4 linked regions of the Drosophila melanogaster genome follow. The protein of the gene in region 1 purifies or fractionates together with the protein of each later gene. This does not show direct contact. Each region holds a gene or a part of one and is shown in the gene's direction. Other genes may lie near its edges.

Region 1 (4,795 bases):
GCGCTTGGCTGAAAATATATGCAAATGGGATTTTAAAAATATTTTTCAGGCGACATTGTGTCTCGCCGAACCTCGATTGCTGCCCATTAAAAATGCTAATTTCAAATATTTTTTAGCAGAAAGCAAGAAATAAATTAGCCACAAAATGCTAAAAGCAGAGGCCAAATAAAAACGATTTTAACTAAGCCACCGAACTCGCTAAGGGTGAGACAAATTAAATTGAATTTGATTATTATATAAAATAAAATAGGTAAGAAGAAAATTCGCGACCATTTCTAAAATATGCAGTCAAAGTTCATTCGATGAAGACGAATTGTAATTTTCATAGATTTATTTGAGCCTAAACGCCGTTCAGTTTGAATGAGTGCTTATCACAAGTACACAAAAACTAAAGAAATATTACTTATATTGCTAATTGATAAGGTCTTTGAATATTAAATGTGTTTATTAAACTGTGTTATTTAAACTACGCAGCAATTCACAAGTAAGTCTTTAAACAAATTAAGCTAGGAAATTTAAATAATACATAAATGGAAACTCAACCAAATATAGAAAATAACAGGAATAGAACTAATATTTACAATATTTCTTAACAAGATAAAAAACCATAACAGGAACAGAACTAATATTTACAATATTTCTTAAAGAGAAAAAAAAACAAAGTGAGAGAAAAACTTGATGACGAAAGCGTCGGCATCCACGTCAGCAAAGCCAAAGCAACTGCAGTTTCCGCTTCCCCTTAATTTTGTTTTGTTTTCGCTTCGTAGTAAAACGTAAAAACGAGAATAAAACCGTGAGCGGGAGCGGGAGCAGCAAGTGAATTTTTTCACGCTGGGTGGAAAAGGCGCGCGAACGTGACGGAACGCCGGAAAGTTGTGGAACAGGCGATGTGAATGAATTGTGGAACGCGTTTGTGTAGAAGGCCTTACACTTATGCTAATGTGGAACCCAGAGTGCGGATCAACGAACGATCCGTGCGCGAAGAGAGCGGGAATAGTTTAAATTCCAGAAAATGCACATTTGTACACATACATACATACATAATTGCCTTGGAAGTTTACGACAGCGACGTTGTCCACAATTTCATTTTATAGATGGGGGCGTGGCACTGATGCATGATCTTGATGGAATTATGTACCTATGTATGTATGTATGTAAATGTAAGCAAGATTCGTTGCAGTAACAACAAATAAGTGGATGAAAACAAGTGCGTCACTTACTCATTAATAAATAAATAATTAATGGGCGGCGCATTCGAAATGTAAAAGAAAACGCAAATAGCTTGCCCACTCGCGGCAATAACGGAACCGTGACTTGCAAATCGGTGAAATGAATAGGATATGCATAACTGTTTTTTCGAAAGACCTGCAAATAATTCAAGAAAGTTCCAGAAATACCCAAATTTAATAGCTATCCAACATTAGGGTGACAATAACGTGTTTCAACAGATGCAATATATACGCAAAATCAAAGAAAAACAAACAAAACCCGTTAAAAACTAATTATTTAAAAAAGAATACAAAAATATAAATTTAAAGCTAACTTAATAAAAAATAACATAATTTTCCCATTATTCATGTGTCGATTAAAACTCAAATGAAAATTCTTACACTTCTCCGCACTCTTTTTTACCCCATAACTCTCTATCTCTCTTCCAGTTCTCCGCGCTCACGATTTGGTAACTGTGGCCCAATGCCGCCGTTCCCAGTTTAGCGCGCTCTCCTTGCCTTTTCTTTCGCCTTTTCGACTCATTTCGAATCGGAAATTTGACGGGTTCGGTCGTAATCACGGATACAAATTTGACGCCCTGTTGGAAAAACCACAACGTCCAATTTTCCTTTTATCGCGCCAAAAAGAAATGCGAGTAAGACCCGAGTCTTCGTGTATACGTATAATTACCATTTGCAATCACAAAGGTTTTGCAACTGTCGCCGGGCGGTGAAAACTCAAGTGAATAAATATCGCAAAGTGAAGCAAATAAAAAAATATTACAAAAACCGGTAAAACGAAATGAAACTGAAATGAGTGAGGGCAGCAACTTCAAGTGACGAAAGCAATCCGTTTACCGTTGTCTTTGCCTCTTCATCCTCCCCGAGAACGGCGGAGAACGCGAAAAATATCATGAAATGTAAAAGCTGGTCCAACAAAATTAACAACTACGTTGTGCGCAAAATAAAGTCTATCAAGGTAAATAGTGTCTTAAAAAGGTGCGGTGTTTGGCCCTGATACATATATACTTATATTTATTTAAATTTTGATTAAGTGAATATATCTTATGAGGCTTATGAGACTTGTTAAGGTGTTAAAAAATAAGTTTATAGCATAGATATGGGGTAATGCGAAAGTACAATTTGTTAAAGTTGTTTTTAATTAAAATAATTTAGTAAAACTTTTTTTACAAACTACAAGTAATGCTTTCGAGAAAATACCTCCCATCAATTTTATCGTTAAATTACACAAAATTGTTCTTGGAAAAAAAAATTGAATTGGTTGTACAAATTTTTGTTTACAAAATACAAAAGCTGCAAAATAATTTATTGACATGAAATAATGAAATACTCATAAAGCTGTGAAATTTAATGTTTGAGCTATATAGCAAAAAAAAAAAGTATTTTTACTTTTTGCAATTCTTGTTACCAATAAATTTAAATATTTCCGTACATTTCATCTAAAAAATTTCCATTGACAACACATGCTGGTATAATATATAAAGATCAAAGCCATAAACTCCTCACTAAGTGGGCAATAAAATAAGATAATTCAACGACTGTCTGTATAACAACCACTTTAAAAGCTATCTAGATGGAGTTGATTATGAATACATTTTCAGATGCTTATATTACTCGACATAAATAGGCAGTGGATGTGTATAATTATTTTGCAGGCACCCGACAACGAAAATAAAATGCATAAAAAAGTTTAATGAAGCCGCAGGGGTTGACTAAATTTATTTAACAACTGCAGTTCATTGCCTCGCAAATTGCTTGATACTTTAAAAACAACAACAAAAATTCACAGCAAAAAAACACAATGATTCCAGCTGGTTTCTAAACAACAATTTATTGTGGTTTCTTTTACTTTTAATTGCTATCTATTAGCAGCAACCAATAAATGAATTATTTATTTTATTTTCTCTTGCAAGCAGCCAAAAGTAAAATTATGCCCCTCTCTCTCCCGATCCGAGTTCATCACTTTGTCTTCTTTTAGCTGTTTTTATTTTGCAAATAACTTGAGTAGTGGATGGGAAACAACGCAAAGGCCTTTCACTTGCATGTCTGTTGCTCGGTTTGTTGTCATTAGGTTTACTGTTGTTGTTGCACACACTCATCCGCTTACATACCTCGTTTATATACTTATTTACATTTGAAGTTGCCGTCGTTGGTATGTTTTACTACGTATCAGCTTGTCCGCTTTGAGCTGCCCCTTCGCTTTTCAAGCATTTTGTTTTGTCCGCTCTGTTTTTCAGCTATTCCAATTCTCTTCCTTCGTTGCCCTGTGTATGTATTCGTAATCGGGTTCGGATTCTTGTTTATTTTTACACCACTTCTCTTTCTCTTTCGCACGAAAATTCCTCGAATTCTTTTTTATCCATATTTTCCTTTTCCAGCGGGAAAAACGAGTTTTTCCAGCAGCGCCGCATTCTTAGCCTGTCGCCTTGTCTCTTTCCCACTTTTATAGTGTCTCCGCTTCTTGCTTGTTTACAGTTAGGAATGCGGTCGTCTCCCCTCTCTCTCTCTCTCTCTCTCTCTCTCTCACTCTCTCTCTTCAAAAAGAGCGTGCGCTCTCTTTGGCCTTATGTAGTTGTGTGGATTTCGACTGAAACTTGTTTTCGCTTTGCCCCGTCGTGTTTATTTATAAAAAGTCACTGGCAAACAATTACAGTGCAACAATTACGCTCTCAAAAGTGGCGCGCAACTTGTTCGCCTTGTAAAAAAAATTGTGACGCCAGCGGCGACACGACTGCGCTGCTTTGGCCCCATTTAACTGAGAGCGCCGAGGGTTAGCTTGGCGGGGGCGGCAACGCCAAAGAGAGTTCTCTCGGGTGGCGCTCGTCTCCCATCGGTTTCGCTGCTCGAGCCAAATGCTTGGAAGTCAAAGTCTCGCCCGACCATAGTTTCTTATTGGATTTCAAACCAGTCGCTTCGTGCACGCGGCGTTCGACTACGCACACACACACACCCATAGCGCGCTGGCATTGATATACATACACAGGCAAATACACGACGCCCCAAGTTCGTGTGATGTAGTGCTGTAGTGGTGCGATTAAATAATACTCCACAAAAGGCCAAATAAATTACATAAAATCTAAATCGGAATAAAAATAAGTGTATTCTCCCTCCGTGTTGTGTTCAAAGTATTTAACCGATTGTTTTCATTAGTCAAATTAATGTAGTACAACGTATGAGTGTGAGCCAGTTCCTAGAAAAATAAGAGGGCATAAAAAATAACAGACACATACAGCGTCTCGTTTCTTATAAATTTTCCTACTGCGTCGGAATTATTGTCTTGATTATTGTTGTTTCTGGCGAACTTTTGTGATTTGTTTCGAGAAACATACTGCGGCGGTTTCATAATTGTGCAAATCAAGGGAAGCACAATACGAATGTTAAGAATCAAAGCTAAGAATTAAATAAAATTAAAGCCGCACACATACATATACACAGGCACGCGCAGAGTCGAAAAAATACGCGCGCTCGCTCTGTACAGTGTGTGCGTGTACGCGGTGGCTGGCTCTTCTTCTTCATTCGTGTGCCCATTGGAATTTGTACCCCAAATCGAAATTACAACATAGACA
Region 2 (8,043 bases), on another chromosome or scaffold:
GGTTCTGCTTGCGGTGGTACATAAGCCAGTCAGTGGTGTTGATTCCTGGTGACTTTCTGCGCGGCGTTCGTCTTTGATTGGCCAAGCTTAGGTGACTATCCAGTCGCGAGAGCGATGTTGAGTGGATAGCGGATGCGGGCTGTTGAAGATGAAGGTGATGGTGGATAACACTTGTCGATGGCTGGCTCTGTCCTGTCTCCATGTCATCACAACTGCCATGAGATTCGGTTATGTTGTGCACCACGATTGACAGTTCCGATTCGTTGGCAGCCGAGTCCAGCGAGCGGGCCTTCTCCTTGGTGCTCTTGATAGTCGGTGTCTTGGGCTTGGGCAATGGTGATGGCTGGCTCGAGTTTTTTATGGGCACGTCCGTGATGCGAATGGTGAGATTATTTTTATTCTTGCGGTTCTTTCGCCCTTCCGATTTTTGTTGCTGCTGCTCCGGCGGCTCGGCCAACGCAGGACTACGATCCCGACGTGTAGCTTCCTCTAAACAGACTGTATCCATGGGCGCATCCTGCACGACATGATCGATCTCGGGGAAGCGAAAGAAGTTGCCGTTCTTGTAGCCGGCCGAGTTAATAATGTTCAGGGGTGAACCGGACACGTTTAGGTTGTTGATGGAGGATAGTAGTTTCGGGGAGTAGCTTAGGCGACTGGCCTCCAGTCCCGGCGTCGTGGAGGACTCATCCTTAAACAGGATGGTGGGTGAGTTGTGCTCGCTCTTCGACAAGTACAAGCTGTTCTCTAGGTCTTGGTCGACTGACCCGCCCTTGGGCATAGTGTTCTCCTTGTCGATGCCACGGCCACTGACCCGCTCCTCGCCGCTGGAGGTATTAATATGCGGCGAGCAGGATCGGCGATCATACTGTGATAACCTCTTGAACTTGCGGCCTAAAGTGGGAGACTGTGAGCTGGATGGATGGTGGACGTGGGCTGCTGGATGGGGGCTGGTAATGGTGAACTGCCGGGGGGTGAAGACCTCCTCCTCCTGATCCTCGTGCTCGGGAAAGCCCGGAACCCCGCCCCCAACCTCCACCGTGGGCGACGGAAACTCGAAGGACGTCTGCAGGTACTCGAGGGGCGTAAAGTAGGGTGTACTCTTGTTGCTCTCCGCATCCTCGCCAGCTTCAAGTGGGGTCGTGTCGGAGGGGGCGGCGTGGGTGGGACGGGGGGTCTGTGGGTAGGGGTACTCAATGGGTGCATTCTCCTTGTTGTTGTTTCGTAGCTTGTCCATGATACACACACACAATTGCTGAAGCGGGGCGATCGCAGCGCAGTCGCTCCGCCCGTTTAGTGTCTTGTCCTCACTCGATCGGCATTATAACTATCTCGCCCGCACAGTTAGCACTTCCGAATTGGACGCAAATCATGGGGAAAAGAGCGTTTTCTTTTCACAACATTTTCAGAGCTAAAGCATGGAGGGCTACCAGACCGCGTATGTAATCGATCCGGCAATGCCTTCATTGCTTACCGTGCTGCCAGGCCGCAGACTAACTGCACCAAGACCTGGCAACGTTGTACCTAATTTAACCGCATTTTTCAAGTGTCTTTTAAAATAAAAAGAAAGAATAGGTTAACAGATCTAGTGTTTACATCAAGGAGTTGCAGAATTTGTAATGCAGATGTTGTACACGGGCGATAGTTAATTCAATCGATCAACTGAGATGGTATCAGACAATTATATTTTGCATGCATCCAGAAAAATTGTTGTAAAAGATCACAGACTTAGTTCTAAATAGTATTTCAACCTACCTGTATTTTTGTTTATGAAATCACTACAAAGTTGTGAACAATTTAGAAGCAACAACGTAGTGTTCCTATTACCACCGTTCCGTTTACCTCACAGTTGCACGTTGCTCTTTGGCACGCTTTTATCTGTGCATTTGCTTGGAAATAATTAATTGAGTTAGGCATTTAAATCCTTTTGTGTACTTTAGACTTATTTAAAGACCTTTTAGATTGGTTTAATTTGCCGAAAGACGAAAACAAACAAATTTGTGCGACAGCTGACTTCATTATTTCAACGACAATAGCAAAAGGCCACACTAATTTTGCGAAAAGCGCGTGGTATTTAATACCTTATTTATTTGCTTTATTTCGCCATTAGAAGTAAGTTTCGCTGTGTCGAAAATCTAGCAAAGAAAGCCACTGGATCAAGACCTAGTGCATCCAAAACCCAGTAATTCATTTCGATGTCTGAGGGCAGCGGAAGCGAGAATGCGGCCGCAGCAGAGGCTGCGGCCGAGGCAGAGGCCGCGACTGAAGCGGCACTGATGGCTGAAGCTGTGGCTGTGGCCTACCAGAGCGACGAGGAGGAGCAGCCAGAAGCCGAGGATATGCCGGAGCAGGCTGGCGATAACCAGGAAGAGGACGCCGCTGAACAACAGGATGGGGGGGAACCAGAGGCCGACGAAGACGCTGATGCTGACGACGCCATGAGCGTGGAAAATGCGGAAAACGAAAGCGATAGCGGTGGAAACGCCGAGGAAACCGCTGCCGCCGACCGTCGCCAAGCCACCAAGAAGGAGCTCACCCAGATTATCGACAAGTGGGAGCAACAGCAGACCCAAAATGGATACGATCCAGTGCCCACTCTCAGGAGGTAAGCGTGCTTCAAAATCATTAACGCATGGGTCCAACTTAATACCTTTACTATCGCAGCCTTGCGGAGATCTTTGAGCGTGAGAAGGACGTGTATCGGCGCAAGGATCCGGATCCCTTGGACTCACGACATCCATATAGAGCCGATCCCAGCTGCCAGTACGGATTGCTACTCAAGCTGCTCTTTCGGAAGGATACCTTCATGGGCAAAGTAAGAATAAAGTCATGTGATTTTTATTTTTCTAAAAAGCAATGTAAATGTTTTCTTAAAATCAGGTGTTTTAGAATTTCCAAAACATAAGCTAACTAAAGTGAAATATTTTATTTAACTAGCTCCTCAACGATTACCTGCGAGAGAACTATTTCAGTCGCCAGAATGTCAGTCGCAGTTCTCTAGAACTAAACATCTTGGCCTGCCGCCTCATTCTGGAGATAATGCCAGGAATGGAGACCTCTGCAGTATTTCAGACCGCCGAAGGCGATGGAACCATCAATCGCATCTACTCTTGGGCAGAGGACAGCATTGAACCGCTTCAGAGCTATGCCACCGGGCTTTTAGCCGAAGCGATGGAAGTGAGCGACATAGCCATAAACTTTCGCGATCTTAATATTCGATTGGTGCCAAAGATGATCAAGCGTCTGCACATGCTCCTGGCGATCAGCAAGAGCGCCACTTCAGATGTCAATACGTCGATGCACAATCTGTCGGCTGACAGCAGCACGGCGGGCATGCTTAGCTGGGTGGCCTGCGCCAGTAATGCATCGGCTCCTCAATCGCCGCAGCACAATGGCAGTGGGCTGGGAGCAAGTTCCTCGCAGCATGGAGACGCCTCTAATATGTCCATTCTGTTCGAGAACAGCAGAGATGCCTTTTCCGTATCTCGCTATTACAAACGGATGTACATTCCTTTGCACCCGGCCACAGCAGATACCAGCCAAATGTTAATCATGCGCTTCCTGACCAGCCTGGGCGAATATCAAGAGTTCCTAGCCATGGCTTTCGAAAACAATGTGATGCAGCTAATTTTTGGCTACCTGGAGAACTTGGATCGCCGGGACACCTGCTTGGCCTACGAAGTTTTGAAGTATCTGGCTTCCCTTCTTTGCCACAAGAAGTTTGCTTTAGAGTTCATTTCACACGGTGGACTGGAGGTCAGTAAATGGTCTTGTAGAGGGAATGTAATTATTTTTAACTTTACTATTTTTTACAGCTTTTGTTAAAAGTGCCCCGCCCCAGTTTGGCGACTACTGGTGTGTCCATCGCCATCTACTACTTAGCATACTGTGAAGACGCCATGGAACGCATATGCAGTATGCAAAGACCACTTATTTCAGAACTAGTTCGCTACGCGCTTTGGATTCTGGGTCGTTGCCACGACTCCTCAAAGTGCCATGCCACCATGTTCTTCAGTCTGAGCTTCCAATTTAAGGTCATATTGGATGAGTTTGATGCTCAGGATGGTTTAAGAAAGCTGTACAATGTCGTAAGTAAATGGTTTAAACGAAAGAAGTTCGATTAAAGTCAATTACCTTAACTTCTTCCTAATAGATTTCCGTACTAAAAATTCTTGATCCGAGCCACAACGACAGCGATAATGACTCTGATTTCAACGAAGACGTAGAATGTGCTTCCCGACAAATGGTGCGCCACGTCTGCGTAGCCCTCAAGCGCTATATGGAGGCGCACTTCTTCTACAAGTACAACAGCTTTCTGTGCCAAACAAATGCGGCATCCCCGGCACCGTCATCAGCCCACTATTTCAATCAGAATCCCACGGTTGCTGCCAAACTGACCTTTGACCAATTGAACGACCAGATTCGCACGCTCCAGGAGCACACTTCTATCCGGGCGCACTGGCAACCCGTGGATCAGCTAATGAAGCTTGGTGGAATCACCATGCTACTCAGGATCATCGCCTTCAGTTACGATTGGGTGAACAGTGGACGCTCCGAGACGGTGCGCTCGGCTCTGGACGTGCTCAGCGTATGCTGTATTATCCCAAGAGTTTATGTTGTGCTCTGCGAGCGCCTGCTGATGCTAGACAAGACAACTACCTCCGGATTTTGCTCGGTTCTGGGCGCTGCTGCAGGAGAGATTAGCTCGGATGCAGAGGTTATCAAATCGGCGTTAGCGGTGCTGTGCCATTGTGTTTGCTCTCCGATCATTCGCAAGGACAGCGGCACCAGCCTGATTAAGTTTGGAACGTCCTCCAGGAAGAACAAGGCCAACCATAAGTACGCCGAAGAGCTGATTGAACGTGTGTGGGAGTCCGTGTGCTCCAACAATGGCATTGTGGTCTTGCTATCGCTGATGCAGACCAAAGGACCCATTACGGATGCGGACTGTATACGTGGAATGGCCTGTAGGGCCTTGGCGGGACTTGCTCGCTCCGATCGGGTCAGGCAGATCGTCAGCAAGCTTCCACTCTTTGCCAGCGGACAACTCCAGACGCTGATGCGGGATCCCATACTCCAGGAGAAGCGCGCGGAACATGTAATCTTCCAAAAGTACGCATTGGAGTTGCTAGAACGAGTGTCGGGTAAGACGAAACCGCTAAATAATCCTTTGGATCCATCGCTGTCCAACATGCACAAGGCCAATGTAATCGCCCAGACACGCATCCAGTATAACAAGCAGCAGCTGTATCAGCTTATCTTCGAGCACCTGGAAAGCAACGGTCTCTCCCAGACAGCCCAAATGCTGCAACGGGAGGTGGGTCTTCCGCTACAGACTCCCACTACGCGCAGTTTTCATCAATCACCTTTCGACTACAAAAGTCTTCCCAGTGGTAGTAGCTCGCTGTCTAGAAATCGTCTGCGAAGCCGCATGCAAGATGTGAACGCAGCGATAATGGGCAATGGAGACTTAAACAGAAGTTTTGGTGAGGACTCCTCGCCGGCAGGAGCCGGTGGTAGCAATGCGGGAGATGGAGTCAGCATACCAAATTTTAGCTCCCTTAACACAACGCAGACGCCCATAAAAATAAGGAGGACGGATAGAAGTTCAGTTAGCCGCTCTATCCAGAAGCAGGCAATGGAGCCTGGTGGCATGTCAGTTGGTCTTGCCGAAGATGGTCAACTGCATCCCAAGAGGATCACCCTAAATACCATCGTAACGGAATACCTCACCAACCAGCACTCGCTGTGCAATAATCCGGTGACAACCTGCCCGCAGTTTGATTTGTACGAGCCGCACAAGTGTCCAGATCCGAAGCCCAGCCGATTGCTAAGCTCGAACTACAACCTGACTAGTCGGCATGCTCGAACCCAAGCCGGATTTAATACCAGTCGCTTTGACCGTCGCTATGTGCACACGCACTTTTCACCATGGCGTAGCATTCGATCGGCGGACTACGAGGACCTAGAGTTCACCTGTTGCGATTTGGCGGGTAAATACATCATTGTGGGCACGCAGCAGGGCGACGGACGAGTGTTCAACATGAACGATGGCGTGGAGCAGTTCTTCTCCAACTGTCACAACTTTAGCGTTGATGCTATTAAGGCTAATAGAGCCGGAGACTTGGTCATCACATCTAGCTTCTGGCGCACACCCACCAGCATTCTATGGTCTATTGCGGACGATGAGTTCAAGCTAAAGTTGCGACTTCCCGATGTCACGTACTGTGAGTTCAGTCAAACGGTGCAGGATCGTTTGTTGGGCACCCAGAATGAGGTATACTAATTTGAGTTATTTTACGATCTATAGCAGTTTCAACTAATAAATTCACCTTTTTTTCACAGTGCGCCACGCTCTTTGACATAAACACTGGTTCCAAGGTGGCCTCGTTTACGCCAACCATACCTAATCTCTACACCAAAAACAGAGCAACTCTTTGCCGAACCGATGAGCTGATTTTGTCGGGTAATTACATAAATGCATTTATAAGTATAAAGTTACCTGAAATGTAACTGAATCGAATTCCTAGATGGCGTTCTATGGGATGTGCGTTCCGGAAAGGAGATCCACAAGTTCGACAAGTTTAATCAGTGCATATCAGGCGTCTTCCATCCCAACTGTCTGGAGGTACAGTCGAAATTTGTGTTGATTTATTTATACCATGTTAATATTTCCAACACAATTTGTAGATCATTGCCAATACCGAGGTGTGGGACTTGCGCACCTTTCATTTGCTGCAGACAGTGCCGGTGCTAGACCAGCGTAACTGCACCTTCTCCCCGATGCATGTAATCTACGGTGCTAGCTTGGGGGCTGATAGGGACCATGACATGGAGACGACCACCTACGACACCAGTTTCAACGTTCTGGACGCCTACGACTACTCGAGCATTGCGACCATTGACGTTAAACGCAACATAAACGATCTGAGCGTCAGCGCCAACGGGAGTCTGATCGCCGTGGTCGAAGACTACAGTGGCTACGAGTCCAAACAGGAGACCTACGTGAAGATCTACGCTGTGGGCGTTAAAAAGAGCGAGCGCTCGGAAGAGGTGCGTGCGGTTAAGGAGCTGGCCAGCGAGGTATCGGACGCAGTGGCGCCGGGGTCGGCAAACGCTAACGATGGTGGCGATGCTTCGCTGCTTCGGGTTTTCGAGGAGCCACCCGAGGAGCGCCCACAGCCGGCGGAAAACGCTGCACCCGCCGGTCCCAACGATTTTGAGGAGGATCAGCTACGCCGGCTAAGTCCCGCCACGCAAGCAAGTCCAAATCTTTCTCGCCAACATGCACCCAACAGCTCAATTGTTGGGGTGCGACGGCGGGCACGTAGACTGGGTGGCAATGGCAGCGGCAATGGCAGTGGCGGGAATGGGAATCTGAATCTTAATGGTGGTGGCGGAGTCGGAATCGGCGCTGCCATAGATCTGAGAACCCTCATGCGGCGCATGGATGATATTGAACTAAATATTATGTCTATGCTTGCAGGAAGATGATGAGGAGGTGCCCGAATCTGATGAGGACGGTTCGGATACGGGCTCCGAGAACAGTAAGTTTGATTTTGATTATAATCATTTAATCCGTTGCTAAATCTCCTTACTCCCTAGCTTTTGCTATAGGTCAAAATTTACTGGGTTTCCCCCTGCTTCGTAACCTTCATGGCTCGGACAACGATGACGAAGATCTGGATGAGGACGACGATGATGGAGAGCCGCTGGACTCCGATGACGATAGTGACGACGACGACGGCTCCGACAATGGCGACGACGATGGCGACTTTGATGTGCTGGAATACTTCGATAGAAGCAGCTCAGACGGTAACTCAAGATCTTTAGACTCTGTTCGTGTACGACTTGTATTTTCTCCTCCCCTAGATTGAGCCCACTCCTCATCCAAACCAACAACACACACAACTGTTCCTTCACCGATCCACTGCTCCGCTCCACTGTTCACCCACTGTTTCGTCTCGTCTCGTTTGAACCTCTTAGTTGTCCGCAGCGCGCATGGAAGGATGAGCAAGCAACAGTCGTCGTAGCATAAGCACT
Region 3 (4,091 bases), on another chromosome or scaffold:
AAATAATTAATAATATTTACCTAGCGTGTTCATAACCACCTCTTCCAGCCATGTTTTATTTTTTTCAAATGAGCGAATTCGCTGCAAACCGCAGTGTGAACACACGGGCGAAAAATACTATCGCGGCGAATTTGGTCGGGCAGTGTCACCACACCAATTAGCTGATAGCCGCCTTTCTTAGTATTTTGGTCGTTAGCAGGGACGCATGCCCAATTGCGTCCAATTTTCAGATATCGATTAATATTTATAGTTGTTTAGCATTCTACAATTGTTCCTTTTCTAATGAAACATTCAAAAATGACATTGAATACATAGAGAGGAATACATATGTTTGTATAAATTTTTTTGTTGAAAAAAATAATACTAAAAGTAACTGGACACAAATGGTTTTTTTTAATACTGAAAATCTATTTAGCGGTATTTTTTTTTGGAGCACCAGGATAGTTCTTATCGTTATCGACAGTACAACTAATCAGCTGTGAAAGTACAAACTGCTATATTTTATATAGACTGAACTTAAAATTAAGTCATGGCGGACGACAACTGCATTTTCTGCCTAATTTCCGATGGGCGGATCCCCTCCACTGTTTTGGAAGTCGAAAACGATGACTTTGTCATCTTCCAGGACATTAAACCCGCTTCCCAGCACCATTACTTAGCAGTGACAAAAAAGCACTACGCTAGCCTCAAGGATCTTAACAAATCGCACGATTCTTTGGGTAAGATTGGAATTGGCGTGACCTCGGGCCATGCCCTAATAATTCTGATATCCTTGGATTCCTTACAGTGCAGCTCATGGAGAACGCCCTGAAGGATCTTCTGGTGTCCAAGGGAGTTTCTGTCGATGATGCCCTCTTCGGATTCCATCTGCCGCCGTTTATCACGGTGAAGCATCTTCACATGCATGCCATTAGCCCACGCACCCAAATGACCTTCCTATCTAAGATGATCTTTAGACCCTCCGTTTGGTTCAAAACCGTAAGTATTTGGCTATTCTGATTTTGACCACTTAGAGGCCCGCTTTAATTTAATCTTATCTATTTAATTATAGGTCGACGAGGCGCGTATTTACCTTTCCCAAAAAGAATAGATCGGGACCATCATAGATAACTGTTAGATAAATATATATTGTACTCGCGCGCTGTCATAATTAACTAATAAACGGAGCCAACCTATACAAATATTCTAATGTTCTTTAAATTAAAAGTGTAGCTTCTAAAAAAACCGATTCAAGCTACATGTCATTACATATTTAATGGCCTTTTTGTATGCGATAATATGCAACCTTTTAAAATGTTCTGCAAATTTAAACAGATAAATATGAAAAATGAAAATTTGACATATGGGAATTATCATCATAACATGGATAAAAAGTGACATATAGATAAAAGAACAACTGCTTTTTATTCCTATTTATCAGTATTAGCAATCTATATAACTTTTTGAGAATTTAACTTTTGGGTCAATTTTCGCAATTTTTGTAATATTGCAATAAATTTAACAAAAATTAACATTTCCAATTTGAAATTGATTGGTATTTAAATAACAAGCTCGCCAAGGGATGGCATTCCACATTTGGACTATTATTTCGAATGTTCTGATCAAAATTAAAACCAAAACAGTAAAATTTGAAATTGACCGGCAATCCATGTGACAAACAATCGATAGACCGCTGCTGCCCCACCTTTCCAGTGTGACCAGAAGCAATCCAATTGGCAACGTTTTGCCGGCTACGCAATTAAATATCGATAACACCACTGTCATACCTTACGCTTCTTCTTCTTGCGCCCGCTCGGCAGAAATTGTACACGTTTTTCATTTCGAAAAGTCCAAATTGCCCATTTTTTGGCCATAGACCACAGACTTTAACATGGCCCTGACGTCGCGCTTCTACAACGAGCGGTATCCGGAGATCGAGGATGTCGTTATGGTGAACGTGCTGTCCATCGCCGAGATGGGCGCCTACGTTCATCTGCTTGAGTACAACAACATCGAGGGCATGATCCTGCTGTCGGAGCTGTCCCGCCGGCGCATCCGCTCCATCAACAAGCTGATTCGTGTCGGCAAGACCGAACCGGTGGTGGTTATCCGTGTTGACAAGGAGAAGGGCTACATCGATCTGTCGAAGCGTCGCGTTTCGCCCGAAGATGTCGAGAAGTGCACCGAGCGCTTCGCTAAGGCCAAGGCCATCAACTCACTGCTCCGCCATGTCGCCGACATACTCGGCTTCGAGGGCAACGAGAAGCTGGAAGATCTCTACCAGAAGACCGCCTGGCACTTCGAGAAGAAGTACAACAACAAGACGGTCGCCTACGACATCTTCAAGCAATCGGTCACCGATCCCACCGTCTTCGATGAGTGCAACCTGGAACCGGAGACCAAGGAGGTCCTGTTGAGCAACATCAAGCGGAAGCTGGTCTCGCCCACTGTCAAGATCCGTGCGGACATCGAGTGCTCCTGCTACGGTTACGAGGGCATCGACGCTGTCAAGGCATCGCTCACCAAGGGCCTGGAGCTGAGCACCGAGGAGCTGCCCATTCGCATCAACCTGATAGCACCGCCACTGTAAGTACCTGTAAACTATTGTAATTTCCCTTGGTGTAGACGAAATTAACGAGGGTTTCTTTAATTAAAAGAATACGAAAATTGTAGATTTCTGTTCTTCATTTTAGCCGAAATTTATCGTTAAATAATAAGGAAATCCCTTTCATCTTGTATATATTGTAAATGACCACTTGGTTAAGAGAAAAACTTATATTCAATTTAATTTTACAACTTCTTGTGAAATCGAAATAACTAAAAATGTTGCTTAAATGAGTTAATTGGTTCCTAAACGTAATCGCTCTTCATCCGTATCCTTTTAGCTATGTAATGACCACATCCACTACCAAGAAGACAGACGGTTTAAAGGCTCTGGAGGTGGCCATTGAGCACATTCGCGCCAAGACCAGCGAGTACGATGGAGAGTTCAAGGTGATCATGGCACCCAAACTGGTTACGGCCATCGACGAGGCGGATCTGGCCAGACGCCTGGAGCGCGCTGAGGCCGAGAACGCCCAGGTGGCTGGCGACGATGACGAGGAGGATGGCGCCGACCAGGAGGGCATGCAGTTCGATCCAGAGAAGGAGTTCAACCACAAGGGATCGGGGGCGGGTCGTGCGAACGAGGAGGATGAGGAGGAGGAAGAGGATTAGCGTAGCCACAGCATCAGACACAACTATAGCAACTGTAACAAACAATTAAAGGAGTTTTGCAAAAATCAGAAGTTGTAATTTTATAATTTATATACATAACATATAACGAATGCTATTAAAGATTTATAAAAGTGAAAACAGCGAGATGCCCAAGAAGACAAATCAAAATGCGCTTGCTCATCTTTTTCTTTTCAAATCCAAAACAATACTATCGACCATTTATTATTGAACCCAATTCAGTTTTTCTTGACAGACCCTTAATACTAATTCAAATTGTGTATAAGTGTAATATTATTTAATAGTCAGGCATTCTTTCGTTTTTCTTTTGTATTTACTTGTTTCATGTTTTCGTTGATGCGGCTTGTTTCCATCACCGTCCAGATTTTCATTCATTAAATTTTAGATTATATCGCTTACTATTCTCTCTAGAAAAAACCAACCCACCTCTGCTTTAAAAATGACCCGGTAGTGCTGCGTAGCACCCTAATTAGATATTGTACATCGTAACAAACGATTCGTATAAAAAAAGTGACATCAGTTTATAAACATTTCACTAAATTAGAAAGGTTTTCGTTTCGGTATTCATTGCTTTGTGGTTGTGTATAGTCCTTACTATTTCCTATTTGACTTTATATGTGGCGTGGCGTGGCTTATTATTTGGTATTGCTCGGAGTATTTCGTTGGAACGGCTTCCAGTTAATGGGGTCCAGTCTGTTCATCATCCTATTGCAATCCGGTTTCTGGCTATGGGGAGTTCGGCTTTAGGTGGTGGTGTGGGCTGTGCGTCTAGCCGCGTTCAGCTGAGTTCGCTCCCCGAGGCGGCATCGTTGCGGTGGAGCAGCACGGACCTGGCCGCCTGCTTGTTACCGCCGCACAGGCGCAGCACGGTAAGCACA
Region 4 (2,951 bases), on another chromosome or scaffold:
AGCGGATCGGGATCGGGAGAGTGTATCCAGCAAGCAGAATCTTCCAGGCGGCAGACAAACGGCAGCTGCATATACACACAGCATATAAATATAGAAGTTCCAAGGTGCTTCCTGAACGAGCAGTTTCGAAAAGTTGCTAAACAAGGGGAAGCGAGTACGTTAAAAGGCGATAACGAAGTCAACTTGAACTTGCAGTGGGAACGAGCGCTCTTTCCGCATAAAAGCAACATTTGCGAAAGCCACGAATGCAAAGTGCCTGTAAAAAACAGGCAATAGCTAACGAATTGCGAATTGCAACTGCCATGGCAATTGCAATCGCATCGACTGGCTGACACCTCAAGGCAAAGAATGCGAGTTTTGTAGCATGCGAGTGGCGGCAGGCAAAAGGGTTTCGCACTCGCAGAAAACAGGTTTCGCTCGCGATGAGTGACTTTGCATTTGGGTCAAGGTTTCCCACAGGCTAGACATGATGCTACACCGTGCTGGCCCGCCTGTAGTTCATGTGATTCCATGCCGCTCTGTTGCAGCACCTTTCCCACGAACATAACGATCCGTCAAAGAACACGGACAACATAACTTGTTTTTCGACATGGCCTTCTGGGTAAAACATTATTTGCCCTTCCTACAAAACTATACTACAAATTTGACCAATAAGCAAAAGTAACTGCCTGTTTTTACCAGGAAACTTGCTGTATAGACATTAAACTATTGCAAATGAACACTGTCTATATAGAAACACTAGTTAAATCCAATTCTTACGGAATCTGCGTTGTGTCCCAGTTCGTCAGTGACTGACACTTCCGATTTTAACCCCATCGTATGATTATGACAACCACTGTGCGACGACGGAAAGTGGTGTATAAATAGCGCGCAAGGACGGCTAATCGCATGCGACTGGCTGCCCGATCCCGCGGACCTTACCTTTGCAGGCCGAGATGAGAAAGTAGCCGGCGTCGCAGATGTCGCTGAAGTCCAGGTGGACCACGGGTCGCGTGTGGCCACTGCAGGTCAGCGGGATTTGTCGCAAGTTGTTGGCGGCCATGGCAGTGGGCTGCTAGTGGATTGGTGGACTGTGTGGTCCTTAATACTTGTGGTTTTCTCCGAGTGTAGCGACCGTTATGTCCGCTGGCGAACTGTGCACTTAGTGAATAACTGACGTTTTGTGGCTACTTTGTACTTGGATTGGTTGTTGCTCCTGGTTAACTGCGCTTCACTGCCCGTACGATAATGATTTTCCCGTTCGTTGCTTAGGTTCGAGATGCTGCGGTGGCTTTGCAGGGTGTGCAGTGTATTTACAATCTGATGCACTGAATTTTATAAACAAGAGGGGAAAATAATTACGCGACACGTTGTTGTTGTGGATGGACGATTGGTAGCCGACTCCAGCCTCGATAGTCCGCACACACAGTACCTACCTATCGTCAGCGGTGGGCGCGTGAGGCGATAACTTCTCGATTAGCTAGAGCTGTGTCACGGCAGCCAGGGGAGGATACAAAGGAAAAATGTCAAATTACTTATTTACAATTTGGCATAGAATTGTTTTATTTTGTTTTTTATTTATATTAAGCCAATTAACAGCTTTGTTGTACGTAATTTAGAAATCACGGCCAACCACTATCGATATAATTTAGCGAACGAGTCACGACATTATGGATGTAGCCCATCCCTATTTACTTGTCAAAACAGCAAATTTTCATTCGGGCCAAGAATCGACTGAAAATATGTCCGCTATTCTAAACCACGCAATTCGCCGCCAATTCGGCGCTTCTGCCGCCCGGAATATGTCCGGCACCGCCGCCGTGGCCGGCGAGCACTCTGGTAAGTGACCGTCCAGCGTCCCAATTGCCAAATTCATCCCCTTTTGTAAGGTTAAGGTTATGTAATTTACCATTGGGCAAGATCGATTGGTGGAGAAGGATTCGCTCTTATAACACATCCTTTCATGCTCATCTCATCTCTCATCCTTCAGGTGGCTACAAGGTGTGGAAGCGCCTGTCCTTCTTCGTGGCCGTGCCCGCCGTGGGACTGTGCATGCTGAACGCCTACCTGAAGCACCAGGAGGAGCACGACAAGCCCCGCCAGGAGTTCGTCAAGTACGACTACCTGCGCCGCCGCGAGAAGCGCTTCCCCTGGGGTGAGGGCCAGAAGAGCCTGTTCCACAACCCCCACGTTAACGCCCTGCCCGACGGCTACGAGCACTAGGTGGCCACCGTCTCCGGTTCCCTCTGCGGGATGTATTCGTTGTTTGGTAGTGATAGACGTTAATGTAAACTGAACTTTACGCGGAAATACACAGAAAACACATATACCCAAACTCCAGTTGGCGCTTCAATAAAGATCAAATTAGAGCGAGGAGAGATCCCATAAAGACCATTTCAATGAGCGACAGCGGAATTCTGGTGAGGAGTTTATTTAAAAGGCCTTCGGTTAAAGGAAAAATTAAAAGTTACAATTAAATAGAATTTAAATTTAAGCATAAGCACGGATGCACTTTTCGCATGCAATATATTCAACTACTATCATTATTTTGCGGATCGGCGATTCTTAAGGTTGCGTTCCAGTTTGTGATGAGGCTTGCCTTCGTTCTTTCCTGTCTTCTGAGTGATTCTTTGAGCATCCCGACTGCGAGTTTGGCGCACGGATTGCTGGGCATCCTTGGGAGGATTGGTTTTACGCTGCTTTGGAGGCGGCGGCGTGAAGGATTCGTCGCTATCGTCTAGGTGGTCCTCATAGAGAGCATCGTCTTCTAAGTATTCCGTCACGAATTCTTCCTGCTTCACATTGTCCATGTCTTCAAAATCGTCAAGATGTTCCTCCTTCTCATCGACGCCGCCTTCTCCTTCGCCGTCGTCTTCGAACTCGTTCTGGTACGGCTCCATTTCCACCACATGATCGTCCTCGATGTGGCGCTGCAGGCATTTCTGCGTCAAGAAGATGTGGTCACAGAACTC

What was found.
Region 2: the proteins of Pdk1 (region 1) and mahj purify together in Drosophila melanogaster (affinity purification with mass spectrometry, with the first as the bait; one large-scale study listed by BioGRID). This does not show direct contact.
Region 3: the proteins of Pdk1 (region 1) and eIF2alpha purify together in Drosophila melanogaster (affinity purification with mass spectrometry, with the first as the bait; one large-scale study listed by BioGRID). This does not show direct contact.
Region 4: the proteins of Pdk1 (region 1) and levy purify together in Drosophila melanogaster (affinity purification with mass spectrometry, with the first as the bait; one large-scale study listed by BioGRID). This does not show direct contact.

What each region holds. Positions count from the first base shown.
Region 1 is NT_037436.4:127,702-132,496, forward strand, and holds the start of Pdk1 (Phosphoinositide-dependent kinase 1), read left to right. Parts: upstream 1-1,748; 5' UTR 1,749-2,121; coding exon 2,122-2,187; intron 2,188-3,028; exon of another isoform or gene 3,029-3,870; intron 3,871-4,110; exon of another isoform or gene 4,111-4,795.
Region 2 is NT_033778.4:21,623,001-21,631,043, forward strand, and holds the start of mahj (mahjong), read left to right. Parts: upstream 1-2,029; 5' UTR 2,030-2,195; coding exon 2,196-2,605; intron 2,606-2,664; coding exon 2,665-2,815; intron 2,816-2,937; coding exon 2,938-3,756; intron 3,757-3,815; coding exon 3,816-4,088; intron 4,089-4,153; coding exon 4,154-6,277; intron 6,278-6,345; coding exon 6,346-6,466; intron 6,467-6,530; coding exon 6,531-6,628; intron 6,629-6,690; coding exon 6,691-7,053; intron 7,054-7,486; coding exon 7,487-7,547; intron 7,548-7,605; coding exon 7,606-7,815; intron 7,816-7,872; coding exon 7,873-7,877; 3' UTR 7,878-8,043. Other genes in the region: PTP-ER (protein tyrosine phosphatase-ERK/Enhancer of Ras1), read right to left, coding at 1-1,237. UniProt on the Drosophila melanogaster protein: Probable substrate recognition component of tsome E3 ubiquitin-protein ligase complex. Plays a key role in cell competition via its interaction with l(2)gl.
Region 3 is NC_004354.4:16,444,659-16,448,749, reverse strand, and holds eIF2alpha (eukaryotic translation initiation factor 2 subunit alpha), read left to right. Parts: upstream 1-1,756; 5' UTR 1,757-1,870; coding exon 1,871-2,565; intron 2,566-2,864; coding exon 2,865-3,195; 3' UTR 3,196-3,574; downstream 3,575-4,091. Other genes in the region: eIF4H1 (eukaryotic translation initiation factor 4H1), read right to left, coding at 21-52; CG34015 (uncharacterized protein), read left to right, coding at 530-719, 788-978, 1,052-1,090; rngo (rings lost), read right to left, coding at 3,992-4,091. UniProt on the Drosophila melanogaster protein: eIF-2 functions in the early steps of protein synthesis by forming a ternary complex with GTP and initiator tRNA. This pre-initiation complex mediates ribosomal recognition of a start codon during the scanning process of the leader region.
Region 4 is NT_033778.4:23,546,569-23,549,519, forward strand, and holds levy (levy), read left to right. Parts: upstream 1-1,670; 5' UTR 1,671-1,721; coding exon 1,722-1,818; intron 1,819-1,969; coding exon 1,970-2,202; 3' UTR 2,203-2,414; downstream 2,415-2,951. Other genes in the region: wmd (wing morphogenesis defect), read right to left, coding at 922-1,042; pita, read right to left, coding at 2,523-2,951.